3 linked regions of the Caenorhabditis elegans genome follow. The protein of the gene in region 3 interacts with the protein of the main gene of each other region in a pairwise test. Each region holds a gene or a part of one and is shown on either strand. Other genes may lie near its edges. The genes, in order: trp-2, vhl-1 and Y77E11A.7.

The links.
Region 1: the proteins of Y77E11A.7 (region 3) and trp-2 interact in a two-hybrid assay, tested with the Caenorhabditis elegans proteins (one large-scale study listed by BioGRID).
Region 2: the proteins of Y77E11A.7 (region 3) and vhl-1 interact in a two-hybrid assay, tested with the Caenorhabditis elegans proteins (one large-scale study listed by BioGRID).

The regions. Positions count from the first base shown.
Region 1 is NC_003281.10:988,101-999,481, forward strand, and holds the start of trp-2 (Transient receptor ion channel domain-containing protein), read left to right. Parts: upstream 1-3,780; coding exon 3,781-3,992; intron 3,993-4,786; coding exon 4,787-4,859; intron 4,860-5,229; coding exon 5,230-5,328; intron 5,329-5,949; coding exon 5,950-6,294; intron 6,295-6,900; coding exon 6,901-7,083; intron 7,084-7,447; coding exon 7,448-7,537; intron 7,538-7,619; coding exon 7,620-7,764; intron 7,765-8,402; coding exon 8,403-8,534; intron 8,535-8,759; coding exon 8,760-8,899; intron 8,900-9,291; coding exon 9,292-9,481; intron 9,482-9,565; coding exon 9,566-9,653; intron 9,654-10,046; coding exon 10,047-10,172; intron 10,173-10,647; coding exon 10,648-10,892; intron 10,893-11,068; coding exon 11,069-11,140; intron 11,141-11,184; coding exon 11,185-11,262; intron 11,263-11,381. Other genes in the region: tbc-10 (Rab-GAP TBC domain-containing protein), read left to right, coding at 103-186.
Region 2 is NC_003284.9:11,303,152-11,313,199, reverse strand, and holds vhl-1 (von Hippel-Lindau tumor suppressor homolog), read right to left. Parts: upstream 5,845-10,048; 5' UTR 5,832-5,844; coding exon 5,694-5,831; intron 5,645-5,693; coding exon 5,449-5,644; intron 5,230-5,448; coding exon 5,039-5,229; 3' UTR 4,682-5,038; downstream 1-4,681. Other genes in the region: F08G12.5 (RING-type domain-containing protein), read left to right, coding at 2,978-3,034, 3,444-3,635, 3,937-4,086, 4,139-4,297; F08G12.1 (Rab-like protein 6), read left to right, coding at 7,327-7,456, 7,506-7,612, 7,703-7,852, 8,434-8,663, 8,714-8,831, 8,876-8,979, 9,037-9,171, 9,217-9,260 and 4 more. UniProt on the Caenorhabditis elegans protein: Involved in the response to variation in environmental oxygen levels by targeting the hypoxia-inducible transcription factor hif-1 for proteasomal degradation when oxygen levels are normal (around 20%).
Region 3 is NC_003282.8:1,412,576-1,424,428, forward strand, and holds the start of Y77E11A.7 (Dynein heavy chain 1, axonemal), read right to left. Parts: upstream 7,271-11,853; coding exon 7,146-7,270; intron 6,998-7,145; coding exon 6,849-6,997; intron 6,105-6,848; coding exon 5,884-6,104; intron 5,510-5,883; coding exon 5,129-5,509; intron 3,335-5,128; coding exon 3,095-3,334; intron 2,737-3,094; exon of another isoform or gene 2,685-2,736; intron 1,847-2,684; coding exon 1,667-1,846; intron 639-1,666; coding exon 266-638; intron 1-265. Other genes in the region: jtr-1 (Protein JTB), read left to right, coding at 8,413-8,551, 8,597-8,740, 8,853-9,073; Y77E11A.8 (PAN-3 domain-containing protein), read right to left, coding at 10,520-10,607, 10,655-10,794, 11,026-11,144, 11,206-11,326, 11,377-11,447, 11,496-11,592, 11,645-11,853.

The sequences.
Region 1 (11,381 bases), on a different chromosome or scaffold from region 3:
TTAAAACCCTGAAAAAATCCTAGTTTTAGCAACAAAATAATTAAAATTTTGAAAGAAAAATTTTTTCGAATTTTTTTGTTGAATATTTGAAATATTTTTAAGATCTCCGAAACCAATCTAAACGACGCGGATATGGAAAAACTTCATTTTGGAGCCATGAAAACCCGACAAATGAGATTTGACTGACCCCTCCCCGCCCCCTGTTGTTATATTTATCGATTATTGATTTTTTTATTGATTTTTCAACACTCACTTTTTTGTTGTTTCCATCAAAAATTCCACGTTTTTTGTGTGCTTTCGCATCTTGCCATATACCTCAGAACAGCCAAAATAAAATTTCCCTGTGATTTTGGTTTTTTTTTTTTTGCAAAAAAACATTTTGGAATTTTTTTTGATAGGGAGAAGCCTTGCGGTGGGACTATGGTGAAGCCGTTTTTGATGAGGAGATAGTTTTGAAACCCTAAAAAATTCAAATGTTGGTTTCATGGGATTATATTACTTTGTTGGAAAAAAAAAATGGAAAATTGAAAAAAATTTTGAAATTTTTTTTCGAGATTTTTTTTCGAAAAATCATAAAAAACTCAAAAACAACCTGAAATTAATTTATTTGAATTTATCACACTGCGACCTTTCCAATGACCCCCAACATGCCTAGGCTCCGCCCATTTTCCCCAGTTTTTGCATATTTTGGGGTCCCGCCACGAAAACTTGTGGATTACTGTAGCTAGCATTTTGTAAAAAAACTTAACATTTTCACCATTGAATAATATACGCTTTACAATTTTTTTCGGCATAAAAATAACTGAAAATCTCGCATGAATTTGAAAATTGAATTTTTTGCAAACATTTTTTTTCCAAAATTTATATAAAAATCGTAATAATTCCAAAAGAACTAGAAATCATATTTGATTGGTTTATTCAAATTTGTCACATTAAGACGTTTCCGCTGACCCCCGACATGCCTAGGCTCCGGCCAGTTTCCTTTCCCCAGTTTTTGCATATTTTGGGGTCCCGCCACGAAAACTCCTGGACTACTGTAGCTGCCTTTGTTCTGAAAGATTTGAAGGTTTTGGGACAAAATTGAAGATTTATTGAATGTTTTCAAGCAAAAAATAGGCTCAAAACTGGAGAAATTAACTCATTTTTTGAAATTTGGAATTTTTCACAAAAAAAATGGTTTTCGAAAATTTTTCTAAAAATCGTAAAAATTCAAAAACTGTCACAAACCTATTTTAAACAACTTATTCAGGCTGATCACATTAAGACCTCTAATGACCCCCAACATGCCTAGGCTCCGGCCATTTTCTCAGATTTTTGTAGTTTTGGGTCCCGCCACGAAAACTCCTGGATTACTGAAGCTACTTTTTTTCCGAAAACATTTGAGGGTTTTGGAGCAGAATTGAAGGTTCATCAAGTTTTTTCGCCCAAAATTTAGCTCAAAACTCGAAAAATTACCGAAGTTTTGAAATTTTGAGCTTTTCGCAAAAAAAAAAAATTCCAAAATTTTTTCTCCGAAAAAAAAATTTCAGAACATTTTTTCGCGCGCGCGGGAATACTTCATTTTTGTTGAATATGTGTGTATGTATGCGCCACACACTTTTTTGAAATTCAATTTATTTCGCGTTTCCCCCCTCCCATCCTCCTGAAGCTTAAGCCAAAAAATGGGGAGGGGGGAAGATGTGCGAAATTCTGTTATCTCTTCTTTAGCTCCGTGGAGCACAAGCTGCTGCTGCTCCTGTGCTGCTCTCGTCTATTTCTCAATTTTTGTTCTTTTTCACCCCCTTTTTGCTCCAGAATCCCATCGTCGTCCCCCAATCATGATGGCTTAAGACCCCTCCTAATGAAACATTTTTCATTATTTGGTTTTATGGAAGAGTCTTGGAGTCCTGGGAAATTTTTTGAATTTCTTACATTTTCAGCTTATATATTCCGTCAATTTTGAGTTCCGACACAGCTGAAAGCATAGCTACCGTACCCCGCGTGGCGAGACCCAAAATTTTTTAAATTGACGGAATATAGGCTTGTTGGGGGTCATTTGAAAGCTTACAATGTCCTAATCATAGAAATTTTAGTTTCAAATCTAGAAAATTAAACAATTTTTAAAAAATTGGGGAAAAATCTTTTCTTTTTGTTTTTTTCTGAAAAATCGTTTTTTGAAAACTTTGTGTGAAGTGTTGGTTCCTGATAGTGAGCATTTTCATAAAAATTTTTGACTTCCTTACATTTTCAGCTTCAAAATGACCCCCATCATGCCTATTTTCCGATCACTTTGGGTTCCGACACAGCTGAAATCAGAGCTACCGTACCACGCGTGGCGAGACCCAAAATTTTAAAACTAACGGAACCCAGGCATGATGGGGGTCATTTGAAAGCTAGAAAAAATCTTAACTTGATTTTTATAATCTCATTTTTATAAACTTAATTTTTTAAAGAATTTTTGGAAAAATCTTTTTTTTTTCGGAAAAAAATAGGACAAAAAAATTCAACAATTTTTTAATAACTTTTAATAACTTTTTGATCTCATTTCAATTATTTCCAACAATTTTTCCTGTCAAAGTCAAAAACTACACATAATTGCTGTTAAACTTTGCGGAAAAGTGATGGAAAAAGCGCAAAAATTATGAGCGTCTCCGGGAGAGAGATGTGTGTTTTAAAACGCGCATTATTATGCTCTCGGCGGAGCTTGTGAAGCTTAAAGTGTTTTCTGGTTTTAGTAATAGGGTTTTTAGAAAAAAAATTGTGTCGAAAATTTATTAAAAATTTTTTTAAAATGTTTTGCTGCAAATTTTTTTAATTCGTATTTTTGCAGCTTTATTCCCTATTTTTCGAATTTCTCATTTTCCTGGCTTCAAAATAACACCCATCATGCCTAGTTCCCGTTAATTTTGAGTTCCGACACAGTTGAAACCACAGCTACAGTACCCATCGTGGTGAGACCCAAATTATAAAAATCGATGGAATATAGGCGTATTGGGGGTTATTTTAAAGCACTCGATATCACAAATGTAAATAATATAAATTCAAATTTAAAAAAAAAACCAAAAATTAATAAATTGTGGAGAAAATATAAATTTCTTCAAAAATTTTTTTTTTGAATATTTTTTGAATATTTTTTAAACACCCACTTAATTGTAGGTTTTTTTCCGTATCAGTTTTTGAACTTTTTTATTTTAGCTTCAAAATGACACCCATCATGCCTAGTTTCCGTCAATTTTAAGCTCCGACACAGCTGAAACCACAGCTACAGTACCCCGCGTGGCGGGACCCAAATTCTCGAAATCAAAGGAGTATAGGCAATATGGGGGTCATTTTGAAGCTATTGTCGTTCTGAAATTAATAAATAAACTTCTTTAAAGATTTGAAAATCGGTTAAAAAAATTTTGGAGGATTGAAAAAAAATGTTATTTAAAAAATGTTATCCAAAAAAAATTTAATACAATTTTTTCAGTATTAAATTTTAGTGTATTATCTTTTTGAAATATTTTTCAAATCAAAAACGTCCCTAACTAAAATACATTTTTCCGTCAGGCGATCTGGAGAAAATAAAAATATTGTGCTCTAAAAAGTGTCAGATTTCAGATATTTTATGACACTTTTTCTTTTTTTTTTGTAATTCCCTCCAATTTTAAAATTTTTTCATAAAATACGTGGTTTTCTGATGCCCTTAATTTTAGCGGTAAATTTTAAAAAAATTCGGAATTTCTTTGTTTTTTAATTTTTTTCAAATTTCGTCCCAAAACATCGCAAATTTTCCCTAAACCCTTCCATTTTCCAGCCAAAATGACATCATCAGAAGCATCCGAGTTTCGGATGATTGAAGATGACGATGACGTCAGCAACAATGTCACGTGGACCGAGTCGGACAACTCGCGGCTCCGCGAGAAGCAGTTCCTGCTCTCCTGCGAGCGGGGAGATATTGGGAGTGTTAGGAAGCTTTTGGCTGGAATTTCAACGGAAACTTTTAATATAAATTGTTTGGATCCGCTTGGCAGGTAGGTTTGATAAAGTTTGAAAAAATTAAATTTTTGAAAAAAAATTTTTTTTTTCGAAATGTTGCAAATTTCTTTACAATTTCTACAATTTCTTTCTTGAAAATAAAAATTTGAATTCAGCACCCCGAGAGCTTTCAAATAAGCCTCATCATGCCTATGATTTGTCAATTTTGAAATTCGACACAGCTGAAACCATAGCTATACTACCCCGCGTGGCGAGACCCAAAACTTTCAAAATTGATTAAACTAAGGCATGATGGGGGTCATTTAAAAGCTGAAAACGTCGATAATTTAAATTTTTTGAAATTAGCTTGAAAAATGGAAAATTTTGCAAAATTTGAGGAAAAAAGAAAAAATTTTTGTTTTTTGAGGAAAATTTTCTCGAACTTTTTAAATTTTCTCATATATTTATTTGCATTTACGATACAAAAAGCTTTCAAATTACATCCAACATGCCTTGTTTACGTCAATTTTAAGTTCCGACACAGCTGAAATCAGAGCTACAGTACCCCGCGTCGCGAAACCCGAAAATTTCAAAATTGACGAAACTTAGGCATGATGGGGGTCATTTAAAAGCTGAAAGCGTTGTAAATTCGAGTTTTATAAATAAAATGCAATAGCTCTAATATTTTTTCGAGAAAATTTTGAAACTAATAAATTTTTGAAAAATTTTTTTTCAACATTTTTTAAACTTTTCTTTCCCCGAATAAAATATATTTTATAGCATAGTACACTTGAATTTTTACGGGCTCCGCGAGTTCCGGTTTATATCTTATTCCCCCTCCCGGTTGCAGAAACGCGCTTCTCATCGCAATTGAAAACGAGAACATCGAGATGATCGAGTTACTATTGGACCACAATATTGAGGTTTCGTTTTGCACACTTTTTTAAAGAAAAAAAGCATTTTTAAAATGTGCTCGAAAAATAAGCCTAAAGTGAGAAATTCTGGAAAAAAAAATTTTTTTTTGAAAATTTTATTTGGAATTTTTTTTTTGGAATTTTTTTTTTGGAATTTTTTTTTGAATTTTTTTCGAAGCCCTTAATTATTTGTTTTGAAATTTATTATTGTATGTCACAAAAACAATTTCTGCAACAGAAGCCAAATTGAAAATCTGGGCAAAAAAAAATTGTTTTTCACAGATTTAAATGTTTTTTTTTTCAAAAAAATTGTTCTACTTCGAAAATCTAAATTTTTAACTCATTTTTTGTTTAATTTCCAAAAATTTTACAATTTCAGACCGGCGACGCAATTCTCTACGCAATTGGAGAGGAAAACGTGGAGGCGGTGGAGATCATAGTGGAGCACCTGGAAAAAATGGACAAATTTGACTCGGAGGTACTTTTTTCGAATTTTTTATATGAAATTTAACGTAAAATTTAGTTTCAGCGCACTGAGAGCTTTCAGAAAAGTATAATCATGACTGGGTTCTGAGAATTTTTAATTTTTCGGGAAAAAAATTGGGTCCCGTCGGGAAAAAGTCTCGGGGTACTGTAGGAAGCGAACTTTTCATTTTGGATTAACTTTTATAACAAATTCAGATAACTGGGTTAATTTTGAGATAGGTTTCAGGAAAATTAACCGAAAACTGAAAAAGGTACGAATTTTCGAAAAAAAATTTTTTTTTAATTTTCACAAAATGTTTTTTTTAGAAAATCTCTCAAATTGAAATTTTGAATTTTTCACATTTTAAGCTTCAAAATGACCCCCATCATGCCTAGTTTACGCCATTTTCATGTCTTGACACAGCTGAAACATAGCTACCGTAACCCGCGTGGCGGGACCCAAAATTTCAAAGTTGGCGGAACCTGGACATGATGGGGGTCATTTGAAAGCTCTCAGTTAGCCCAGTGCAAATATTATAACATTTTTGTTAAAAGTTCAAAAAATTGGTTAAAAATTGTACTTTCAAAAAAAAAACATTTTTTTTTGAAAATTTGAAATTTTCTGAAATTTCAGCGCCAAGGAGTGGAGATCACAGAGCACTCAGCATTTACTCCAGACATCACACCAATAGTGTTAGCAGCTCACAAAGACAATTACGAGTGCATAAAGCTGTTTTTGGACAAGAAGGGTACGGTACCCCACCCCCATGACGTCAGATGCTCCTGCCCCGAGTGCTACGTGGCAAGGGAAGAGGATTCTCTGCGACTTTCTAGGTCACGGATAAATGCCTATAGAGCACTTACAAGCCCGTCGCTCATCTGTCTTTCCGCTCGAGACCCGATTTTGTACGCTTTCGAGCTGAGCTGGGAGCTCAAGCGGTTGAGTTTTATTGAAAATGAGTTCCGCACAGATTATGAGGTGAGTTGGGAGGGGAAACAGTTTTTTAATAGGATAGAGCATAAGAAGAGCTTTCAGAAAAGCTTAAATTAGTATAGGTTTCAGTTGGAAACTTTTCTAAAATTTTGGGAAAAAACCAAAAAAAAATTTTTTTTTTGAGTTTTTTTTTTCAATTTTTTTTAGTCTCAAAAATAGTGAGATACTGTTTTTGTGTCATTTTTTGCATTTTTCCCATAAAACTTAAGCTTCCGTCTATTTTTTTTCTCGAAAAATTAGCTAAAAATCTTCAAAACTAACAAGGTTATGAATTTTTGAAAATTTTTTAAAATTCAAAAAAAAAATTTTTTTCTAAAATTTAAAAATCGCTAACTCCGCCAGTTTTGTGCATTTTCCGCAGTTTAGTGTAAATTGAAAGAGATTTTCTAGATTTTGTGATAAAAATACTACCAAAAACATTTTTCGTACTAGATACAGTACCCCAAGAGTTTTCGTGGTGGGACCCAAAACTTTTAAAAAATTTCTGAAAACATGCAGAACCTAGGCATGAATATACTTTTCTGAAAGCTCTCATAGTGCTTAATTCAAATTTTAAATTAATATTTGCTCAAATCTAAAATTAAACTCCAGGAGCTCTCCCAAAAGTGCCAAAAATTCTGCGTTCACATGTTGGACCAGGTGCGGGGCTCCAAGGAACTGGAGGTGGTGCTCAATCACACTACAAATGCGTGGCACGATGTGACGTCAGCAAATTATGGAAATCCAGAAAAATTGGCAAGGTTGAAGCTGGCAATACAGTTATCGCAGAAAAGGGTTGGTGAAATTTGAAATAAAATTAATTTTATTTTTTTTCAGAATTTTTTTTTCTGAAACTTGCATGAAAATATTTAATTTTTATTTTACTAAGTTCGCTTTGTTGAGAGCTTCAAAATGACACCCATCATGCCTATGTTTCTTCAATTTTGAGTTTCGACACAGCTGAAACCCTAGCTACCGTACCCCGCGTGGCGAGACCCAAATATTCAAATTCCACGGAATATAGGCATGATGGGGGTCATTTTAAAGCTCTCATTGTGTTTAATTCGAATATTAACATTTTTACCGGTTTACGAGACATTTCAGAGAAAAATTGGAAAAAATTCAAATTTTTTTTTTTTGATAATTTTCTAACTTCCAGTTCGTCGCCCATCCTAACTGTCAGCAGCTGCTTCTGGATATCTGGTATGAAGGTGTTGAGTCAGTGAGATGTACTAACTTTATATATAAGGTGAGAAATTTTAAGGAAAAATTCTTCGAAATTTTTTTTTAATTCCAAAAAAAAATTTTTTTCCAAATTAAACTTTTTTCAGCTAATTTTCTACATTCTCGGAATGCTCAGTTTTCCGTTATTCTCACTTGTCTACTTACTTGCTCCGCACTCCTCAATGGGACAATTCGCCAAGAAGCCATTCATCAAGTTCCTTTCGCACTCTGGAAGCTATATTTTCTTTCTGAGTGGGTGGTTTTTCGGGAAAATTTTGTTTATTTTGTGAGAAGACTTTAAAATTTAAATTCAGTGAGTTGCGAGCTTTCAGAAAAGTATAAGCATGCCTAGGTTCCAGCTATTTTCAAACTTTTTTTTTCTGTTTTTGGGTCCCGCCACGAAAACCTCTTGGGTACAGTAACTAGGAGGGAGATTTGAAATTTTATATTTTTCCTATGGCAAGCATACATTTTCACATTTTCTAGAACATAAATTAGCAGAAAATCTCGAAAATGAACAAAGTTATCGATTTTCGAAAATTTCCGAAAAAAAATTTTTTTTTGAAAAATCTTTTTTTAAATTTCAAACTTTATTAATAACTATTTTCAAATTTGAAATCTTCCTGCCAATTGCTTCAAAATGACCCCCATCATGCCTATATTCCGTTGCTTTTGAGTTCCGGCACAGCTGAAGCCAGTGCTACAGTACCCCGCGTGGCGGGACCCAAATTTTCAAAGCTGGCGGAACCCGGGCATGATGGTACTTTTCTGAAAACTCTCAGTAAGCTGATTTCAACCAAGATAAAATTTTCTACAAAAGTTAAGAAATGACAGAGAAATTTGAGGTTTTCAAAAAAAACCCAAAAAAGCTACAGTACCCCAAATTACAGTACTCCTTATCATGGCAAGTCAACGTATGAACGTCATCGACAACATCCTACGCACTGATGACGTGGATCGCAAGGAGACACGTGGACCCCCGCCCACCATAATCGAATGCGCTATATTTTTATGGGTTTTAGGTGAGAATTTGGGAATTTTTGGGATATTGATTATCGATTTTTTATAAATTAAATTTTTCGATTTTTCTTTTGTTTTTTTTTTGAAAAAATTTTCAAGAAAAATTGGTTATCGATTTTTTCAAAAATTTTTTTGGATTATTGGTTTTTTTTTCGAAAATTTTTTTTTGGATTATTGATTTTTAGGAATTTAATTATCGATTTTTTATCGATTCTTAACTTTTTCAGGATTAATATGGGTTGAAATCAAGCAACTGTGGGAGTGCGGTCTCTACAATTATTGCCGAAATTTGTGGAATATTTTGGATTTTATCACAAATTCCTTGTACCTTTGCACCACCGCCCTACGTGTGGTCGCCTATGTTCAGGTATTGTAGTTTGTAGTTTGTAGTTTGTAGTCTGCAGTGTGTATAATTGTCACAAAAAAATTATTTGAAAAACTCTAAAATTGAAAAAGTTATCAATTTTCCAAAAAAAAATTCTGGGTCCTGTTGCGAAAAGTCACTGTAACTCGATGAGAAATTAGGTTTTTCGAATTTTTTCTACAAAATTCAAAATGCTCTGCAAAAATTAAGCTGAAGTCTAAGTCTAATTTTTTAAGTCTAAAATGATCGGAAAATCTCCAAAACTGAGAAAGTTATGAATTTTCAAAAATTTAAGTTTTTAATTAAAAAAATTTTTTTTACAATTTTTCAAAAAATGTTTAATTTTCTCAGATGTCACAAAAATACTTCAAAATCAAATAAATTACCATTTTCAGGTAGAACAAGAAGCTCTGCGAGCCAACTCGGTGCACATCGCTCGTCACCTGCCCCGCCGCGACTGGGATGCCTGGGACCCCACACTGCTCAGCGAGTGCTTTTTTGCCACTGCGAATATTTTCTCCTCACTGAAATTGGTGCACATTTTTACAGTGAGCCCACACTTGGGACCACTTAAAATTTCTTTGGGTGAGTTGGAAAAATTTTGGAAAAAAAAAACTTTGAAATGTTTTTTTGAAAATTTTTTTTTTTCAAAAAAGTCTAACTTTTCAGGCCGTATGGTAATCGATATTGTGAAATTTTTTATGGTCTACGCACTGGTACTATTCGCATTTGCATGTGGGCTCAATCAACTGCTGTGGTGAGAGAAAAAGCTTTTTTTTTTGCAAAAATTGTTTTTGTACGATTTTTTTTTCCAAAACCGGTTTTCAACACATTTCAGCAAGAAATTTGAATTTTGCACACTTAGAGCTTTAAAATGACTCCCATCATGCCTAGAATCCAACGATTTTTAGAATTTGGGTCTCGCCACGCGGGGTACGGTTGCTGTGGTTTCAGCTGTGCGTAGCTCAAAACCGCCGGAGCATAGGCATGTGAGGTGTCTTTCGAAAGCTCTCAGTCAGCTGAAGCCAACAAAAGTATTAAAATTTGATAAATATGAAAAATAAAGGTTTTGAATTTTTCGAAAAAAAAATTTTCGAAACTTTTATTTTATTTTTTAATAATGTTTTCTCAAAAATTTTTTAATTTCCAGGTACTACGCCTCAATGCGCCAAAACGAGTGTAATTTATATGAGCAGTACAAAAACGAAAAGTCATTGAGCTACAAGTATGAGCACTTGAAGGAATCGTGTGACGACAAGTACAAATCCTGCTCGAGGTTTGGATTTTTGGCTGAATTTTTTTTAATTTTAGATAACTCAACTGTAAATGTTAATTTTCCAATTCAGGAAACTGTGAGTTTTCAGAAAAGTATAATCATGGCTAGTTTCTAATTTTCTGCGAAAATGTCGGGTCCTGCCGCGAAAACTCCTGGGTTACTGTAATTAACAGACAAAAAATTGTATTTTATTTTTTCTAACAAGAAGATTATCTGACGTACATAAAAAACTAAAAATTATCAAAATATCTCACGAATTGATAAAGTCACGAATTTTTGAAAAACTCAAAAAAAAATTTGAAAAATTAAAAAATATTAATTTTTGGAAAATTTCGAAAATTCATAACTCGGTTCATTTTCAAGATTTTTGCTTGATTTTTGATACAAAATGGAGTCACTGCTCAGAGCTACCTGGTAATATTTTTTTAAAAACTATACAACTTTTCGTGGCGGGACCCAAACCCCCAGATTTCAGCATCTACCACACCGCGGAAACTCTATTCTGGGCCCTGTTTGGCCTGGTAGATCTCACGCATTTTCGGTTAAAAGAGGACCATTTCTTGTCGGAATGGACGGGGAAAACGATTTTTGGCAGCTACTGTTGTTGCTCCATAATTGTGCTCCTGAACATGCTCATCGCTATGATGAGCAATTCATATCAGTATATTTCGGATCAGGCGGATATTGAGTGGAAATTTGCGAGGAGCCGACTGTTTTTAGGTTAGTTTTGAGATGAAACTTGATGGAAAATCGATAATTTCACCCTAAAATCAATAATTTCCTCAAAAATCAATATTTTACTAAAAATCAATACTTTTCCAAAAATTGATAATTTTACCCCAAAAATCGATAACCCCCCCCCCCCCCTCCCAAAAAAAATCATTTTTTCTTTTCAGAATATTTCGACGACACCGCCACATTGCCGCCGCCTTTTAACATTGTCCCATCACCAAAATCAATATATTACTGTAAGCCCCGCCCATTTTTTGTCAAGCTCTGCCCACTTTTTCAGGCCTACACTATTTGACCAAAAAGCTGTGCAATTGCACAAAACTACAGCAGCCGAGCAAGCAGAAAAGCATGCGGGTAGGTAGGAGCACCGTAAATCTACATAGAGAGTTTCGTAAATCTACACACTTGGCCTCGTAAATCTACATAGAGAGCCCCGTAAATCTACACAAATAGCCCCGTAAATCTACACACTCGGTC
Region 2 (10,048 bases), on a different chromosome or scaffold from region 3:
TTTATAATCAAGGTTTTTTGGTATCTAAAACAAGGTGTAGTCAAATTCTGAGCTCAAAAAGTGAACGTCTTACAAATTTTGCAAAGCAACACAACAAATAGATCCACTTCACTATGTAGGAGAAAATATTGACGGGAAGTTCAGTAATTACTACATAGTTTTTAAAATGTTTGGCAGTTGTCAAAAGCAAGAGTTGACACTATCGGCTATTACTGCGCATTTTTTTTCGAAACAATTTTTCGATAGGTGCTTCATCTGATCAATAGCCGCAGAGGTTAAAAACATGTTCGCTATACAAAGGTCTTCAGCCAATTACAAAATTATCGAACAATTTAGAATTTTAAATTCCGATTCTACAATTTCTCTACCATTAAAGGAAGCGGCATGTACAGTGCTGGCCAAAAAGATATCCACTTTTGGTTTTTTGTGTGTAACTTTTTTCTCAAGCATCCATTTGACTTGAATTTTTCCGTGTGCATAAAGCGAAATGTTACGCAAATTTGCGGACCAAACATTACATGATTATCGATTTTTTCTGAATTTTATTTCAATTTTTTGATTTTTTCGTTTTTCCAATTTTCATTATTTTTTTTGAATTATCAATAAAACGCACTCTGTTTGTTGCACTGGATTTGTTTGGTTGATAAATTATTTTTAAGGTATGGTAAAATCTGTTGGGTGTAAAAATCTTTCCTTGGACGTCAAGAAAGCCATTGTAGCTGGCTTCGAACAAGGAACACCCACGAAAATGCTCGCGCTGCAAATTCAACGTTCTCCGTCGACTATTTGGAAAGTAATCAAGAAGTACCAAACTGAGGTGAGTTCGAAAAATATTATTCTTTAATAATAAATGTTTAGAAATCCGTCGCTTTGAGAATCTCGCCCGGCAGGCCTCGAGTGACAACCCATAGGATGGATCGCAACATCCTCCGATCAGCAAGAGAAGATCCGCATAGGACCGCCACGGATATTCAAACGATTATAAGTTCTCCAAATGAACCTGTACCAAGTAAACGAACTGTTCGTCGACGTTTACAGCAAGCAGGACTACACGGACGAAAGCCAGTCAAGAAACCGTTCATCAGTAAGAAAAATCGCATGGCTCGAGTTGCGTGGGCAAAAGCGCATCTTCGTTGGGGACGTCAGGAATGGGCTAAACACATCTGGTCTGACGAAAGCAAGTTCAATTTGTTCGGGAGTGATGGAAATTCCTGGGTACGTCGTCCTGTTGGCTCTAGGTACTCTCCAAAGTATCAATGCCCAACCGTTAAGCATGGAGGTGGGAGCGTCATGGTGTGGGGGTGCTTCACCAGCACTTCCATGGGCCCACTAAGGAGAATCCAAAGCATTATGGATCGTTTTCAATACGAAAACATCTTGGAAACTACAATGCGACCCTGGGCACTTCAAAATGTGGGCCGTGGCTTCGTGTTTCAGCAGGATAACGATCCTAAGCATACTTCTCTTCATGTGCGTTCCTGGTTTCAACCTTGTCGTGTGCATTTGCTCGATTGGCCAAGTCAGTCTCCGGACTTGAATCCAATAGAGCATTTGTGGGAAGAGTTGGAAAGACGTCTTGGAGGTATTCGGGCTTCAAATGCAGATGCCAAATTCAACCAGTTGGAAAACGCTTGGAAAGCTATCCCCATGTCAGTTATTCACAAGCTGATCGACTCGATGCCACGTCGTTGTCTAGCTGTTATTGATGCAAACGGATACGCGACAAAGTATTAAGCATAATTATGTTGTTTTTAAATCCAATTGCTCATATTCCGGTACTTTAATTGTCATTTCCTTGCAACCTCGGTTTTTTCAATATTTCTAGTTTTTCGATTTTTTTGAATTTTTCTGAAGTTTTTTCAAAATCTGTTGAACATTTTTGATGAATATTGTGTTTTTAGATTTTGTGAACACTGTGGTGAAGTTTCAAAACAAAATAACCACTTAGAAAAAAGTTACACACAAAAAACCAAAAGTGGATATCTTTTTGGCCAGCACTGTAACACACATATATCTATATTTCTCATTTAACAGTGAAAAAGTGTTGTTCCTTGTTAGAAATGAATGCACTAAAGCTTAAATAGAAGGTAAAAATTAACAAATCTCACTCAAACTTCATCTATCTCTCCATACTTTATTTTTCAGCACACCTGCACCGCTATTGGTTTCATTGAAGAAAATTCGCAAAAGTGGATCAATGATTGTTACATTCTATCAAAATCTCCAATCAATTCTACTGGCTTTGATAATACAGTTGATATTTATGAAATTTGTGTTTGACAATGAAATACTACTCAAAAATGCGGTTAGAAAATGATGTCATGTCTGTGACTGTCAGTTTTATACATCAGAAGATAAAATAGAATCATTAAACAATGTTAAAATTAACATTTTATTTTTCGTTTTGAATTGATTTTGTTTGTATACACGTATATTTTGTACCCGTCTCTTCTCTGTTCCCGCACAAATATCAGGGTACAAAGAACATGTTGGAGTATAGAGAAAATAGAGAATTTTAGAGTACCACGGTGTACTTTTTTCTCTGTTCATTCTCTATCTTAATGAAACATGTTTTGGTCATTTAGTCCATTTTGTCTGTTAGTACGATTAATCTGTAGTTTTCCTCTTTTCTCCAATCATAAATGTTTTTCAAGTATCATTCGGACTAATTGTTTTTCCACTTCTTCACTTTTGTTGATCGTTCCAGTGATATTTTTCCTCGTCCTCTTCACTTGTTGTCTCTTGGTTGTTTTGTGTTCCCGGGTTGCCCCCGACTGACTTAATCGTAAGAGATCAACGCGCAAAAGAGACGCAGGCAACACATTCCCTTTCCACATCGATTTCGAGCCCGGTTGTGTCCTTTTATCGTTGCGTTAAAGTTTCTATTGGCCATTTTTATTACTTAATATTTCTGCTTCAGATTTATAGGGATGCTTTCAGGTAGTTAATTCTGATGAAGCAGAACGTGAAACAAAACATGTATGGATTTTTTCGCAGGTTTATTCCAAAGGATGATAAGAAAGCGGATAAAAAAGTGAGTTTTACATCAATTACAATTTTCAAAATTGAATATTTCTGAAGAAAAAAAAACACTTATTGAGTTTTTTAAGTGTAAAAATGTACAAATACTAATAATTTTTTTAAATTGAAGTTTGCGAACGGAAACACATACTTCACTATTATATTCAAAATTATGATAGCTCTCTTTCAAATCGTCACGTTACTTAAATTATTTGAATTCTTTCTTTCAATCAAAAAATACCCGGTTACTTGAAAATAGAAAGACAACCATTGTTTGTTTTTAGAATCCAATTTGAGACCGATTAGCAATCAGAAAAACTTTATTTAACAATTTTCGGGTCAGGTGAAAAACTCTATGGTTGAGCAGAGTTTCAATTTAATTTACTACAATAAAAAATTCGAGTTGAATATATGTATTTCAGCGGGTACTGAAATCCCTAGACGAGGCTGATGTATGCGTAGTTGATGTAGAAACATTACGATGCGCTGTCTGTCTCAACATATTTCAAGGAATCCCTCAAACGCTGACATGCGGTCATTCATTCTGTCATAGATGCATTGAAGAAGTGGCTCATTCGGAAGTGATGAATGATACAAGAGAACCAAACCGAAATGTAAGTTTTGTAAACCGTAATTGTAATTCCTCTATAAGCATGGTCTTGAGAAAAGGGTCTTTGGGTTCCGTGTTGTGTTAGTGAAGCGGTAAATGGGAAATTCAGTTTTGTGCGCACTTTTTACTTTTCAAAATTCGTTTTGTTAGATGGAATATCAATTGATTAATTCTAACAGGAACTCTTGGTCCGCAGACTTGTTTCTCGAGAACATTTCGGGACAAAGATTTTATGGAATATGTATTTTCAAAAAACCGTATGCAGATTTTAAGCTAATATAATAGGATTTCACTCTGTGTTTCAGTCGTTTCACTGCCCCATTTGCCGGAAGCGTGTCAGCATGAGCAAGGTTATCCAGAATTATACACTGAAAAACGTACTGGATAGTATTAACGAACTATCGAGAGAGGAGGAAAAATCAAGAAGAGCGTATGATAATACTTTGGATGCATCAGTGAGTTACATCAATAATAAAACAATATTTGCAAACAATTGATAAATTTTAGAATGAACAACTCCGCGTCAAATGCATTGATTTGGAACGAAAAGCAGATAGTCTAAAACGAGAAATCAACGAAATGCGCAGAAAGGAGTACTATAATTATGTTGCTATAACATTTTTCATTATTGTCTACATTATCCTGTCGACAATGTTTGGAAATTGAATTATTGTATAGCTATTCTAAGAATTTTAGAAGTATTTTCCTTTTTTTTAATTGTTGTTGTATAATACCTATTGAACCGGTTAGATGCTGATACTCATTACCTATGTCCAACTAGTTGTAAATAGGGGTCATCGAATTTCAAATTTTGTTCTAAGTTTTATGCGGTTAAAAATTATTATAATAAATAATGAATTGGATATTAAATTGGTAAAATGCAAATATTTTGAAAGAATATTCCATTTCGTGTTCCGCGTTCTTGTGAGAACAAACAAGCTTTGAATTGCTAAAATCAAAAACAATTGGTTTGAGTGATGATAACAAAAATATTGAAATTGCATGCGAAACTTCATGAATTCTAACGCTGGGAATTGAGCACTAAAATCTGAAATCAATTTATTTTCAGCAAAAAAGCCGTAAGCTGATTTTTCTGCTCTCCAATTTTTTCAATTGTAAATTGTTTGTTTTTGAAATTAGAAAGTCGTGTGTACCTTTGACCATATTAATTTTTCTTGTACTTCAGTCCGAATGTAACATGAAATATAATAAATTATCTTACAGAACATCATTTGCCAACATAACTTTTGCGCTTTTAAAATACTTTACCACAAATGCTAGCAAAAATTGTGACAAAAATGGTGAAAAAATCATTAACAGTATTCAATGCTACTTTTGAGAAAACGACCGTATGGGGAATGGAATTGCTTCTATCATGACAATTTTCGAAACTATATACAATTAGAATCATTGCTGAGGTCTCTGGGGTCCAGGAGGAGGAATTGAACGGCAGACTATTTCGGAATATTCTTGTTTTCTATCCAGAAAATGTTTGACTTCAAATTGTAGTTCTCGTGGAAGTCCTTTGATTTTGTTTGGAACTTCAGTTGGATTATGCCGTAAGAACGAACGTCCGGCAATTTCTCGTAAGGATTGAACTGAAAAAATATTAACAGTTAAAAGTGAGGTGCAAAGAGGAATTAATCGTTAGAAATGGGGAAACATGTGATTCGATTTATTCTGCATTATTACCACTCACTGAGTAAGTGACAACGAAATCGTAAAACTAACGTCGGAAAATTCAAGAAATTGATTATTTATTCAATTGTTTTCTTTTCCATTTTTCTATGTAACCTTTTAAAAATAAAAAAGCCTACCTTTCATTGTGATGACACAATGATTTCGAACAATCAAATTCATTCGAGGAGCTGGCTCCGGCCAGAATACTTCTTTTTCGTTTACCAATACTTTGCATCCATCAAAGGATCTCCTAGCAACCCATGGATGATCCTTGAAAGTTTTAATGTCTAAATACTTTTTTTGGGCAAGTGTTCCGTATTTTGTCGGTTGTTTCTGTAATTTAAGGATTTTATCTTTTTCGTTGTGTAAGAATTAAATTTACTGATGGATTCAGCCAAAACACGTCCACGGGGTAAGCACATCTGTTTAGGAAACGAACACGTATCTCTCGATTGTCATGTGTTGATGAGCCCAAGTCAGGAAATAACCTTCCATCATCATCCATCGAACCGTCTGACATTTTTCTTCTGAAAACCAATAAAAACATATTTTTCACATATCATAATGAATAATTAAACGTTTAAAGTAACACGAAAGGACCAGGTATTAATCAATAAAAAAGACGCTGTGAAAAAGAGGTGGACGGGTGTAGTGGACTGAGGGCCGAGACGGCTGGATTCTTAGTCCCCGGCCTTTTCTTGTTAGCTCTGCCACGAATACGATGTGTAGAACAACCTAAATTGATATTACCTCGACGCTTAATTATTATTTTGAAAATTTATTAATGTACTTCAACAATAATTGTAAAATGTTTTCTAACTTGATTTTATTTATTGATTGAAAACAGAAAATGATGTGTTCGTTGAGTTGTTTTTTTCAAATCTAATTTAGTTGCAATAATTTTGATAAATCTGAAACACAAGTTCCAATAATGTCTGATCAGAAACCAATTTTTTGTTGTCTTCACCGATTATTAGGTTTGGAACGACACAAAACGTTAAGTGCCAGCTCACCGAGGCATATAAACGAAAAGAGCCCTCCTGCAAAAAAGAGGCCTCCCTATTCATTCGGTGGCCACCACGTCTATCCTATTGCCTCCAGTGTATTGCTTGCCGTCGAACACTCTTCTCCGCACACTTCTTTTCTGCCTGAATATTGATTTAAGGGCGTTGCCTTGACCGTACTTTTTGTTTCAGGGATTAACATCAGTTGTGAAGAAAATCTAAGGGTTGCCAGACAATTAAGAAAATCTGTACGCCAGCTTGCAAAAAATCACACAAAAATCATTTTATAAATGAAAACTCCAATTGGATAAAACAAAGACAGTGCTCCGATTGACAGCGGTTTATGACACTTCAGTCCTGATGCAACGTGAGTTTTTGTTTAATTTGGAAAACAAATTATTTAAAATTTTAAAACACAGTCAAAAGTTTGTGTAAGAATACTTTTTAAAACTGACGGATTTTTTTTTTCAAAACGCCTAGTTTAATTTAAATTTCTTCGTTTAAAACAAAAAATTTTAAAAATAAAATGAGGAAAGTTGAATTACAGGACAGAACAAGATGGTCATGACATGGTAGAATAACAAATTCCATTTATCATTTGTTACTGATGATCTTCTGGTGATCCGTTGCGTCTAGGATTTGATTGGATTCAGCTTCAGTGTTGTAAATGAAATAAATACACAGGACCCGTCAAAAAGCTTTGAATAAAGTATGAATTCGTGTTTTTTCAGCGATACGCCAAATGGAACCCCGTTGTGTGAAGAAAACATAAAATTTTCGCTCAAAAAACGAAGTACGGATAATTCAATTTTTCCAATTTTTCCATTAATTCGTTCAATGTACCGATTACAAATAAAAACAATAAGAAATCTTATCTTTTTGTTGTCAATTTTTGATAAGACGTACTGTCTTTCCTCTTGTTTTATTTCAAGACAATAATACCTTTTTTGAATGTTATTTGAGCACTACTTGCACTTGCACCAAACAAATCTTCTTCAAAAAATTATTCAGATGTTCTCCGCAATACGAAAAAAATTGGGTGGTGACAAAGAAGAGAACAAGTCGACTGTTATGCCGTCAGGTGTACAACGAGTCGACGCGGAATTGCAGAGAAAATTCGCTCGAGGAGTACAGTACAACTGTTAGTTTTTTTTCCATTTCACCTGCTTCTGGTAATTAAATGTTTTTAGTGAAGATTGTAATTCGCGGAGACAGAAACGTCGGTAAAACTTGTCTATGGAAACGACTTCAAGGGCTTTCATTTCAAGAGGAATACGTGGCAACCGAAGAGATTCAAGTAAGATCTCGTATTTGCTTGGATATGGATACAGACTTTGCTTGCATCAAAAAATTCAAAATTTGAAAAATACTCAAAGTTTGATTCCAGGTAGCCAACATCAACTGGAACTATCGCGCAACGGATGACGTTGTCAAAGTTGATGTTTGGGATATTGTAGATCAATCCACTAAGAAAAGGGTCAAGGATGACAAGTTAAAATTGGCGAACAATGGGATGGATAAAAATGATGGTTTAGATGTAAGTCTTAAATTGAAAAACTTAAGAAATGCGTACAACTGAAAATAGTTTAAAGAAGAAATATCCTCAGCGAAGAATGGAAATCTTTGAAAGAATTTTCCGACAATGTTTGTACACTGGTAACGGAATAAGAAATCGTTTAAAAAATGCAAAGTGATATTGCAACAAACCGGTTACAGCGCATTTCACGAATAGTTCAGAAAACTCATCGATATGTAGAGTGTGGTATTTGACTTGCGTGGGAAATGATAGGTTGAAAACATAACAACATGATTTGTTAATGCGTATCAATCTTTCTGAGCTAATATTAAACTAGTTTCAGAATCAATGTCAGTGGTTTGAATGGACAAAAGGTTTAAAGTTAAACTAATTTAGAAACATCCAAAATGCCAAAAATTAGTTAAACTGGATTTTGCAAATTCATTTCAAGTAAATTACCGTTTCCACATCAAATGTTTGACATGGGTTCAAATCAAGAAACAAAAACTTAACAGCATGATAAATTTTTGATTTCAAACTAAAATTTCAACAAACACACTTTAATTTTATTGACAAAATCAGTAATATTCCACATATTTCAGTACGAGGACACAGCCTGCGATGCACGTTTTGTCGATGTTTACAAAGGAACAAATGGTGTCATTTTTGTATTTGATATTACAAAAACGTGGACATGGGAGTATGTACAAAAGGAGATTGTGAAAGTTCCGAACAAGATTCCTGTTCTTGTTCTGGCAAATCGTCGAGACATGGGTCATCACCGTCAAGTCACCGATCTACAGTGCTCGACATTTGTTGAGCTGTTCAATAGGTAAGATTTTCATTTTCAAAAATACAATTTATCTGAATTTTTGCTTTCAGTAGTCATCCTTCCCCAGATGGTTCTCCACGTGCTCGTTTTGCCCCGGCATCAATGCGATATGCATTTGGACTAAAATTCGTACATCACTTTTTCAACATCCCTTTCCTTTGCCTTCAGGTATTATTTTGTTTTTACTCAAGTTCTCACTAATGACGTTTCAGCGTGAATCATTAATCAGACAATTAGAAACGAATAAATCAGAAATTGTGTCTAGCTATCACGAGCTTGACTGCTATCAGGAGACCCCAGAGGCCGACTATGACACGTAAGCGCAGTCATGAATATTACGAAAAACTCTTAAAATAGAATTTGAATTTTTCAGTTTTATTGAACTTGTGAACCAGAAGAGAAGAGAGTATGCAGACAAAAAGAGTGAAATGGCAAGACAAGGTGCTGTACAAACGTCTGGAAGAGTCATGGGTGGCGGACAACCAATTCCAGGACAAAGGCTCACGCCGTGAGAAAAATAGGAACCTGAAATAATTACTTTAGAATATTTCAGACCGACGATTCCACGCGCGAATATAGATCAGTCAGAAAATAATGGTACGAATTTACATTTTGAGTGGAAAACTGTCACAGTAAAAAATCGGAAGTCTGTTTGTGAATCTCAGAAACAAATTTGAGCAAAAGTGTCACAACATTTTTAACGTGGTTTTCAAGAAATTGACAGCCTGTTGTGGATGAATGACATACGAATGCCGTGTTTATTTTTTCAATAATATATATTTTTTTAGCAACACAACCTGCATCTGAAACAACCCGTAAACACTCCTTCGAGATGGTTGGTGATGAAGATGAAGACGGTATCAACACCTTTTTAGGGGAAAAACAAGAAACAAAAAACCATGGAGTTACTAAACCCAAACAAAGCGAAAGTGATAGGTAATAGCTGGGTATGGATTATAATCATCAATTTAACTTTTTTTAGTGAGACTGAAAATAACATGGTTTGGAAGTTCGAAGAGGATTTCTCAGTTGACGATGAGTTGATGGAAAGAATGGCAAAAGCTGGAGAGCAGAGAAAAGTACAGTCGAATTTGAAGAAGTTGGCAGTACCCGAAACTGTGGAAAGAGAAGTGTCAACTCCAATCGGTTAGTTTTTATAGTCACGATGATTTGATGTTATTACTTCTTATAAGTGTTTGAATTTCATGTTTACAGCGTATCATGTTAAAGTCCATGACGATGACGTCGATTCGCCCGTTATTGAACAACCGCCAATTGCATCAGAGGTTCACTTATTTCGAGAGAGGAATTTTATAAACAAGAAACATTTACAGAGCTTTGAAAGTCCAAAATTCGAAGCACCACCACCACTTCCTACGAACAAC
Region 3 (11,853 bases):
GAGCTGAACACAAATTCAGTAGTGAAAATTCAAAAAAAAGGTCCCGCCACGAAGGGTTACTGTGGTTTTCGTGGTGGGACCCAAAATTCTCGGAATTTTTCAAACTTTCACTAAACCTAGTCATGATTATACTTAAATCAAAGCTCTCAGTGAGCTGAACACGAGTATAGTAGTGAAAATTCGGAAAAAGGTCCCGCCGCGAAATGATGCATGATTCAAATGGATTTTTCTCGGAAAAACTCGATTTTTTTCGAAATTTTCCAACCTTCAAATCTGGGTTTTCCAGAATTTCCAACAACATGATGATGCCCCCCATCATCATCATCCTCATCATCCTCTGCTGCTCCATGCGAATTCATCATTTTCATACGTTTCATCGAACTAGTCGATGATGGACCACCGGCTTCATCCATATATTCAGTGTGGTGTTGGGGCGGCTCGCCGAGCATCTCGTCGAGCTGCTTTTTCATCGAATTCACAACGTTATGAATGACAATATCATAGTCTTCGGAAGTTGATCCCATTAGGGTATTCATCCATTCGGTTAGCATTTCCGCGTGATTTTTCGGTGGTCCTAGGCGACTGTCGAGCATTGAGGCTATGCGATTTTCGATGCGGCGACCCATTTGGCGGCAAACCTGGAAAATGTTCAAGATTAGAGTGTGAAATTATTGTGGAATTTGAGTCTAGCTCAACGAGAGCTTTGATTTAAGTATAATCATGCCTAGGTTTGGTTAAATTTCGAGAAACTGCAAAAAATTGGGTCCCACCACGAAATCCACAGTAACCCTTCGTGGCGGGACCTTTTTCCGAATTTTCACTACTATACTCGTGTTCAGCTCACTGAGAGCTCTGATTAAAGTATAATCATGACTAGGTTTAGTGAAAGTTTGAAAAATTCCGAGAATTTTGGGTCCCACCACGAAAACCACAGTAACCCTTCGTGGCGGGACCTTTTTTTTGAATTTTCACTACTGAATTTGTGTTCAGCTCGCCGAGAGCTTTGATTTAAGTATAATCATGACTGGGTTTAGTGAAATGTCGAATTTTCCGAAATTTCCAGGTCCCACCACGAAAACTACAGTAACCCATTTCGTGGCGAGGCCCAAAAAAATCCAAAACTACGCGAATCAACAGCTCTCGACAAACTTTAATCAGGCTAAAGCCTAAAATGTAAATTTATTGGGTCTCGGAGCGAAAAAATATTAAAAATTTTCGGTGAAAATCAGAATATCGCTGCGAGACCCAGTTTTTTCACAAAATTTTGAATTCCAATCTCACATTCGTGTTCAGCTCACCGAGAGCTTTGATTTAAGTATAATCATGACTAGGTTTGGTGAAAATTTGAAAAATTCCGAGAATTTTGGGTCCCAACACGAAAACCACAGTAACCCTTCGTGGCGGGACCTTTTTTTTGAATTTTCACTACTGAATTTGTGTTCAGCTCGCCGAGAGCTTTGATTTAAGTATAATCATGACTGGGTTCTGACAATTCTGCATATTTTCGAAATTTCCAGGTCCCATCACGAAAACTACAGTAACCTCGTTTCGTGGCGAGACCCAGAAATTTCAAATTCACCGGAACCTAGTCATGATTATACGCATTTGAAAGCTCTCGGCGAGCTGAATTCGATTTTGCTCAATTTTCCGCCGTCGAAATTCGTACCATTTGAGCGACTCTAGCCGCATCTCCGCCGTTGTGACGTGGTGGATTGAGCAACGAGTCGGGCTCATTATAATAGACTTCTTCAAACATTTCATCGTCATAATAGACACCATTGTCGTCCATTCTTCGATGCATACGTTTACGGGCATTCGCCATCACATATCGACGCATTTCATAGGCCTGAAAAACTGGGAATTTTTAGCGAATTTCCGGGTGAAAAAATGGGGCTGAAAATGTGGAAAAGTTCGGAAAAAAAATGATAAAAATCGTCGAAAATTGTTTATTTTTCGACGTTTTTTTTTAAATCAGGCTTTAAAATGAGTTTTAGAGTTAAAAAATCGTGTAAAATTCATCGGAAAACGCATCTTTTTTCAATGAAAATCTAGAAAAATTGAAAATTTTTGAAGAATTTCCATATAATAAAATGCCCAAATTTTTAGTTTCGTAAGAATTAGCTTAAAATCTTCAAAATTTGCAATTTTTAGCGAATTCATTCAGTGAAAAATCGTATAAAATTGGTTGAAAAATATGGAAAAATCGTGTTTTTTTAAATTCACGTTTTTCGGATAAAATCGTCAAATTTTTAACTTTTTTTTCCAATTTTCAGTTGGGAACGTGACTGAAAATCGTCTAAAATTGCAATTTTCAGAGCATTTTCTGTGAAAATCGTCGAAAAGTGGCTTGAAATTGTCTAAAATTGGGCTTTTTAAAGAATTTTTAGGTGAAAAATTTCTGTGGCATTTTCTGTGAAAATTTTCAGAAATATGCTAAAAATCGTCGAAAATTGTTGATTTTTTGACTTTTTTAAAATCAGTTTTTTTTGGGAAATTTTCAATGAAATTCTTCAAATTTTGACATTTTTCAAGCCTGAAAAATCGTGATATTTGTCTGAAAGCAATTTTTAAATTTTTCAGTTAAAATCTTCAAAAATTGGAAACAAGTGTTTAAAAAGGAGAATAAATTGAAGAATTTTCAGTGTAAAAAAACAAATTATGGCATTTTTCAATTTTTGGCTGGGAAATTGACTGAAAATCGTCAAAAATTGACTAAAATCGTCAAAAATTGACTAGAATCGTCAAAAATCGACTAAAAATCGTCAAAAATTGACTAGAATCGTCAAAAATCGACTAAAAATCGTCAAAATTTGACTAAAAATCGTCAAAAATTGACTAAAAATCGTCAAAAATTGACTAAAAAACGTCAAAAATTGACTAAAAAACGTCAAAAATTGACTAAAAATCGTTAAAAATTGACTAAAAATCGTTAAAAATTGACTAAAAATCGTTAAAAATTGACTAAAAATCGTTAAAAATTGACTCAAAAAAAAATTGACTTAAAATTGACTCCATAAATTTTCGGATTTTCGTGAATTTTTCAATTTTTTACATGGAAATTATCGGATTTTCACATTTTTTCGCAAATTTTTACCTGTTTCTTATTGATAATCTCCCGTGGATCGGTTTCTCCCGTTTCCACAAATCTCTGTACAGTTTGCAGTGGTGAATCACTTCTCAGCAATTCCTGAGCCACTGAACGTGTGTCACTGTACAGTTTGGGCGTCTTTCGGAGCTCAATTGGGTTATCCGATAGGTAATTCACGTGATACTGTACCAATACAGGTGATGCTCGACTATTATCCACAAGACTCTCCAACCAACACACCTGAAGCTGTGATATTTGTTAAGATTTCTTCAAAATTTCGGAATTTTCGAGATTTTTCACTACGAAATTCGGATTCCCCGCATTTTTTTACACTTTCTTGTAAATTTTCAGAGTTCTAGCTCAAAATTGCGTAAGATTCGGTGTATTGGGTTACTGTAGTCGGTGATTGCGTACTTTTGGGGCTACTGTAACCCGGAAATTTTGAAAAATGAGCTAGAACCACAGACAACCGATTTCAGAGCTAAAAATAGATAGGAAAATCGAATTCGGTGATGAAAATCAAGAATTTCGAATAAAACAGCGGAAAACTCGTGTTTTAACACATTTCTCGGCGATTTCACTACGAAATTCGGATTTCCAGCTATTTTTTACTTCTAGCAGTGAATATTCAGAGCTCTAGCTCAAAATTGCGTAAGATTGGGTGTTTCTGGGTTACGGTAGTCGGTGTTTGCGTACTTCTGGGGCTACAGTAACTCGGAAGTTCTGAAAAATGAACTAGAATCCCGCAGAAAAAGTGTTAGAGGTGAAAATTTGCAGGAAAATCGAATTCGGTGATGAAAATCAAAGAATATCGAATTTGAACACTGAAAAATTGAATTTCTAGATATTCTGCTGAAATTGCAAATTTTTCATTAAGAAATTCGGATTTCCCGCATTATTTTACAACTAGCGATTTTCAGCAGAAATCTCTAATTTTTTTTGTAAAAATCCGAGCTTTTGGCTTAAAATCCAGTTTTGTAAACTATTTTGGCAAAAAAAAGGTGGTTTTTTGGGTGAAAAATTCGATTTTGAGTCATTTTCATAAGAAAACTTCACATTTTCCGAAAATATCAATTTTTGGCTAAAAAATCCGAATTTTGAATAATATTTGCATGACAAATGCTATTTTTGGGCAAAAAATTCAATCAATTTTCGGTATATTTTTTTAATGAAACATGTCATTTTTTTCGGTTAAAAATATGACTTTAGGTAATTTTTGTAATGAAATTTCCAATTTTTTCGGTTAAAAATCCTTTTTTTTGTCATTTTAGCCTGAAAAATGCTATTTTTTAAGTAAAAACCCCCGATTTTAGGTCAATTTTGGTGTGAAATTTTCAAATTTTTCGGTTATTTTTCGGAATCCCCGCATTTTTTTTCCACTACAACGTAAATTTTCAGAGCTGTAGCTCAAAATTGCGTGAAATCTGGTGTTTTGGGTTACTGTAGTCGGTGTTTGCGTACTTTCGGGGCTACCGTAACCCGGAAATTCTGAAACATGAGCTAGAAGCACAGAAAACCGATTTTAGAAGTGAAAATTTGCGGCAAAATCGAATTCGGTGATGAAAATCAAAGAATATCGACTCTAAAAGCATGAAAAATGTAATTTTTCGGGTAAAAATTCGATTTAGGTCATTTTTTGATGAAAAATTCAATTTTTCCGGTCAAAAACTATTTCTTCACATAAAAATCCCGATTATTGTTTATTTAGAAGTAAAAAAATGTCATTTTTGGGTGAAAAATTCAATTTTCGGTATATTTTTTTTCTTCATTCTTTTTGAAATTTTAGAATGAAAAAAAAAACCATTTTTGGGTGAAAAATCCTTTTTTGTAATTTCAGTATGAAAAATGTCATTTTTTTCGGTAAAAAATATGACTTTAGGTAATTTTTGTAATGAAATTTCCTTTTTTTTTTCGGTTAAAAATCCATTTTTTTGCCATTAGCCTGAAAAATGCTATTTTTTAGGTAAAAACCCCGATTTTAGGTCAATTTTTGTGTGAAATTTTCAAATTTTTCGGTTAAAAACTGCATTTCCACCGCACCTTTTTGCAAATTCTATTCTCCATATTCGAATAATACCAATTCAACACATAATGTGCAGTTTCGGCAGTTCTTCTCGACGTTTTCACATGATTTCCCTCTATTTCCACAAAAATTTTCTTCTTCGAGCTCGTCGATTTGCCACGATTCCACAAATAACTATCAATATAATAATCGGTATTTTTTAGTCCGTGACGGGGTTCAACAAGGAAATTCTGAGGCCCTTTACGTGTTTCATCGATTGTCAACGGGAATTCTTTCTGAACTTCATGTTCTTCGTAGCAACGGAAATAAAGGAAATGGGCAGCTTTGTTGGGAATTGAGAGATCCGAAGATTTGAGATTGAGAGTTTCTCCGGTGAATGAGGTGGCTGCGGCGACACGCTGCAAAACTTTTTTGAGACGGTTTTTGCTGGTTTTTTAGAGGATTTCTGTGCAAAAATTGGGGTTTTTTTTCTGTGATTTTAGACGCTTTCTGAAGGCTTTTCGCAGGTATTTGAAAGTGAGTTTTCGGAATTTTAGGGCATTATTTTGGCTCTTTTTAAGCAGCTTTTTACAGTGAATTTTCTGTGAAATTTCGGCTATTTCTGGTCGATTTTTGATCGTTTTCAGAGCATTTGAAACTTTACTTTGCCATTTTTAGTGGATTCTCGTTTTAGGTGTGGTTTTTGCTCATTTTCACAGGATTTTTCAAGTAAAAATCCTCATTTTTCAGGGTTTTTTTCGGTGAAAAAATGCCATTTTCCGCGATAAATCACCTGCATTGTGGTGACGAGGTGTTCGTCTTCATTTTGATACGGTACCTTTCTAGTCGGAGTCGGACGCCCTTGATATTTCATTGATGATATTGTAACCTCATTTGCAACCGAAAAATCACTGTTTAAGACCATTTGAGCGTCGATTTTCTCGCGTTTCAAAGCCATTTCCATTTCAATTTCCATTGTTTGAGTGTCCATGTGATCGTCGAGCACTGACGCGTCTGGAAATTGAGAATTTTTGAGATTTTAGGGGTTTTTCAATTAAAATTTGGCCTTTTTCGGGAAGTTTTAGCTTCAAAAATGACATTTTTTGGGAATTTTCTAAATGAAATTTTAATTTTTTGGGGAATTTTTAGGTTGAAAATTGGATTTTTTGGGTTTTTTCGAAGTGAAATTCGAATTTTTAGAGTTTTTAGCTTGAAAATTAAAATTTTCGGGATTTTTTGAGTGAAAATCTGATTTTTTAAGAGATTTTAGCTTGAAAATTAACATTTTCAGGTAAAAATCCGGGGTTTAAAGAATTTTTTGGCGAAAAATTGGTTTCTTAAATGAAAATCGAGTTTTAAGACAAATTTCATAGAAAACTGTAACATTTTCCGGTAGTAGCTTCTGATTTTCAGCCGAAAACTGAATTTTAAAGTAAAAACCTGAGTTCTAGGCAGTTTCTCCTTGAAAACGCGAGCATTTAGGTTAAATTTTAGAATTTTGAAGTGAAAAAATTACATTTTTTAGGTAAAAAATGAACGTTTTAATGGGAAATTGCAAATTTAGAGTCGACAATCGACTTTTCAGCACTTTTCCAATGAAAAAACACATTTTTTGATTAAAAACTGATTTTTTTAAAGCAAAATCGTAAATTTTGGTATTTTCCCCCTAAAAATCGCCAATTTTGCCTGATCATTGAGGATTTTCGCCAATTTTTCCGCGTAAAAATCGCATTTTCATGTAGAAAATCCAATTTTTACCGATTTCAGTGTTGGAAACATCGATTTCCTCCTCTAAAATCGGGCTTTGGTGGTGTTTCTGGTGAACTTGGAGCTCGTGCTCGCCTGGGGTCATATCTCGCTCCTGGTCGACTGAAAGTGGCTCTGGTGTCGTGGATTCTGGGACTTTTCTGAAAAAAAACGAGCAAATTTAGAGATTTTTAGGAGAATTGGAATAGAAACCCGAGATTTTTAAAGGTTTTTTCACTATTTATAGGTCTAAAGTGCTGAAAATTTTGATTTTTCTTTTATATTTTTGGATTTTTCTCGTCTACTCACGCCATTTGTGCAGAAATTGTAGATTTCGGTGTGAGTTGAGCTGTAGGAATAACTTTTTCGAAGACTTCATCTTGTTTGGCGGCGAGCAGCTTTGCGGACGGTGTACGAACTTTTCTCGTCTCCATTTCTGAAAAAAAATCGTTTGAAAATATGGTTTTTTCGCTGAAAAATAAAGAAAAAAGACTAAATTTGCCCAAAATTTGAGAAAAAATTTCGAAAAATAAATTACAGTACGCTTTAAAGGGACAGCAGTGAATTTCACCTTCGTGGCGAGACCCGTTGTGGCAAAAACAGCATGCGCCTTTAAAGTTTACGGTGCTTAATTGAAATTTTGAATTTGTTTTCGAAAACATTCAAATTTCGATCGAATTTTTCGGTTTTTTCGATTCAAAATCAATTTTCGCTTGATTTTCCTGAGAAAACTACGCATTTCCGACAAAATTCAAATAAAAAGAGCCGCGGGGGCCGTGAGAAAAAATGTGGCCGAAGAATACAAAAATTCGACGGGAATGGGACGACGGACGGGGCCGAATCAATTGTGTTTTCTCAGCCACAGATGTTCACGGTGAGTGAGGAGACGCAGTGAAGCGCGCGCGCACGCGACGCGCAACCGCGTCTCGAGTGTGCAAGGTGGGATTGGAGCGCGTTTGTGTGGATAGGGCTGTGTCGATTTACGGAGCGTCGTGGATTTTTTTTAAAGGGGATTTCCGGTTTTTGAGGAGGATTTTTGTGATTTTTTCCTAGTTATTGGTTAATTTCCAGCAAAAAATGAATTTTTTTACGTTAGATTGTAACGGAGAATTTTATAATTCTGCAAATTATAAATATTTATTATTGGTTTAAATTAATTTTTTATCCGAAAAAAAAAACCAAGAAAAAATGTTGAAAAATAAATTTTAATGAGTTTTTTGTATTTCGTTTCAAGACCTGCTGAAAAGTTAATCTTCATGTACCTTTAAACTTACAGTAAAATAGTTTTTACGGTTTTGAAGCCATTTATTAACAATTTTTCGTACGGAAATTCATTAAAAGTTTATATACTAATAATGAAACCCATTGTCATATTTTTTGGCAAACGTAACTCGCAAGTTTCAGTTAAGTTTCAAACTTTGTCAAAAATCAGCAAATAAATGTATTTCGTTGCGAGACCCAACACAGAATTTGCCTCTATGCACCTTTAAAAATTACAGTACGAAATTAATTAATTTCTTTCTCAATTTCAAGCCAAAATAACTCATTTTCCCTCATTTTTTTTTGCAGAAAAACGATGGAATACTGCAGTACAAAGCAAATTTCCACGTTTGTCCTCGCCCTAATCGGTTTTTCGATTCTCGTATTCTTCATCGAAGAGTACACGGAGGAAAGTGAGATGAACAGCGAAATGGAGATGAAAAAAGCGTTTTATAGTAAGATTTCCACCTAAAAACTTGGAAAAAAAGTTGAATTTTCAGAGACGGAACACGGCGGAACCACCGGAAAACTGGAAAAAGTGGTGACGGAATATCCAGCGGAAGAATGTTGGAAGCATGAGCCATTTGAAGTGGTCACCCAGTGTGCACCGTGCAAGGATTTCGAGATTAAGGCTATTAAAGCTGGTAGGGAGATAAAGAATTAGGAAAAATTCAGAAAAATCGCAATTTTTACCTTAAAAACCCGCAAAAAACGACTTTTTCACCAGAAAATCAAAAATTTATCCTATTTTTCCAGGTCATTGCCTAAAAACCGGCTATTTCGATCGTGTAAACTGCTCCAAATCGTCGACAACTGTGCTCCGCCCGTGTCCATCTCCAAAACAATCCCGCCGCCACGAGTTTTACCTGTTCTACGTGGTAAATGCCGCAATTCTCATCGTGAGCTTCTTGTCGACGACACAGCGGAAGGCTCAACTCGAACGGGCGGTCTACATGCGACTACCTCAACATTTCTAAATTTTTATCGATTTTTTTTGTAGATATATATATATATATATATATATTGATTGATTGATTTTTGTTGCGATTTTAAACGGGTTTTTATGTGAAAAAAACATGGGAAATGTGTAATAAACGGTGCGAATTTATTGAAAAAAAATTTTTTACGAAAAAAAAAAATTCATCGATTTTCTTGAATGCTTCTTTCACGTTCGGGGTAATGTACTGTAGTATTACTGTAGTTTAGAAAAAATTGGGTTTTTGTCTTTTTAAGAGATATTTGTTTAGGGTTAGTGGAGAGATATGGTCGGGATACTGTAGTAATACGGTAGGGGGTACTGTAGGATTTTCGGGAAAATTGAGTTTTTGTCTTTTGAAGAAGTATTGATCCAGAAACTTCTAGAATTTCCTAGAAAAACCTGGAAACTTCTACAACTTTCTAGAATAGGCTGAAAACTTCTCGACTTTCTTGAAAGTCAGCAAAACTCCAGGAAAATGTGTAACACGGGTTTCTGGCTTCCCTCATAAATTGAAATGGAAGAGTTTGCCGAACTAGGCCATTTTGGCTTGGCCATATCTGGGGTAGATTCACGGCGCGTCGCGTCTCGATTTTAAATGAAAAACTAAATGCAGGCGAGGCAATCGACTTCTGGAGCTGAAAACCTCTTTTTCTGAAACTACCGTAATCTTACAGTACTCCTACCGTGCCACTATTATACCACTACAGTAGCCCCAACTATGTATATCCCTACACTAACCCCAACTCACTATCCTTCCAGAAGCCAAAACTTCACAGACTACATAGTGTAAGGATTCCCACCCTTTTCACTTCACATTTTACATAAATAAATACTAATTTATTTGCCTGTAAATTCTCTCTGATAATTTACAGAAAGAACGGACGAAATCGGTCAAGGACAACGATTTCTACAGCGAGGACAATTCGTGTGGAGGAGAAACTCCAGTTCAAACCGCCGCCAAGATGTCGTTGGTCGCATTGTCGCGTCGAGACCCGTCGTCGTTAAAGGCTGCGCCTTTAACCCGGAAATGCCTATATAAGGAGAGGAGGACGCTCATTTGAGGATCATTTCTTAACTCTTTAACCCGTTACTTGTCGTTTTCCCTCTTCTCTCGTTTACTCTGTTTCGACGATGCAATTCGTCTGTTCCCTTTACTTAATAAACCCTTATAAGATCGATCAGTGTGCGTGAGTGGCAGTTACATCCTATACCTTTATTATAGACTACATAGACTACAAACTATGGACACACGGAATAAGCGCTTTATATATAGTAAATGATATTTATTAACTAAAGAAAACGGCTTCCCGAAAACATTTTAAAACAAAAAACTAGATTTTAGTGAAAAAAAAGAGTAGTATACATATATACAGGGGTTACATAAATACATATGTATATACATTAGTCTATACATTCATCAGTATACATCAGCTCAGAGCAAAAATCAGTCATAATCCCAAACTTTGTAAACCCATGCTGGACTTGAGCAAAAAAATAGTTGAGCTGGAAGGGGATTGAAGTTGCCTTCGCATCTGAAAAAAGATTAACGTCTTTTACGGTGTTTCGGTTTAATATTTACGATTTAACATCCACTTTCACTGCATTGTTCCCATTAAAAACCAGCACAAGACAATTATCATTGGCGGTTGCCATTGCGGACGAGTTGGTCACCCAATTGTAATGTTCGAAAGTGGGAACGGAGCTAAGGAATGTGAAACCCTGAAACGATAGTTTTGCTTTACATAGCTGTTAAGATTAAATAAAGAGAAAATACGGGTGATACAGAATAGCGAATTCGGAAGCTTCTTGGAGCTATATATAGCTTTCCAGGAGACTCCCACTAAGGCACGACTGGTCCGACAGAAAGCCAGCGCGAGACTATTTAAGGCCACAGGCCACTGGAAACTACTGGACTAAAATTAATCCAAGACTGCATAATTGATACCTCACCTTCGGAGACATGCAATAAGGTGTACGCGGAGTTGATTGACATGCTTTTGTTCGAATTCCATCAATTCTGGCATAGATGTTGCGATTAGCTGTTTTATTACGCTGAACCTCTCCTAGTTCTGTAAAATAAAGCTTTAACACCGAAAAAACAAGTGCAGCACCTTTTTTCGGAAATATTACCTGAAAACTTTTTGAGATCTTCCGGATACAGTGGAGCTGCTAATAGTGCGTTGTCGGCTGATTCACATGAAGTGGCAGCTTCGTTGTATGTGAATGATCCGGTATTGGAGTTTCGATATATCTGATTTTCAAACAAAACATTCTCAATGAAAGTTTGAATTTCTATCTCACCTTCAAACAAACCATTCTGTCGTCTGGATGGATCAGTAGCCCGTTAAAGTTTCCATTGCAGGAGTAGTTCACTGGAATTATTTAGACGTTAGTTAAAATCCTCATTTAGGTTTAAAAACTTTTATAAGAAATCTTCCATCCGGTGAGTGTTGCGTAGATTGTGTAGTCGGTGTGGTAAGGCCAATATGGTGGATAGTCATTCACATATAAATGACCCTGCAAGTGGAAATTCACTATGTATGTACCGTGCTGAGTGGACATCACTTACCGTTGCATTCTGATTATCAAAAGTTGGCGGAATTGCGCCAGTTGGACATGTTCCATTGAGACTGTTCACTTTAAACGCCACCACCGACTCATTTGCCGACGTGGTCCTACTAACGAAATCCACATAGTCATAGTCGTAATTGTAACACGTCGAATCATTTTGTTTTGTTCTGGGGGCATTACCACACAGTATGGTGAGTAAAAGCAGGC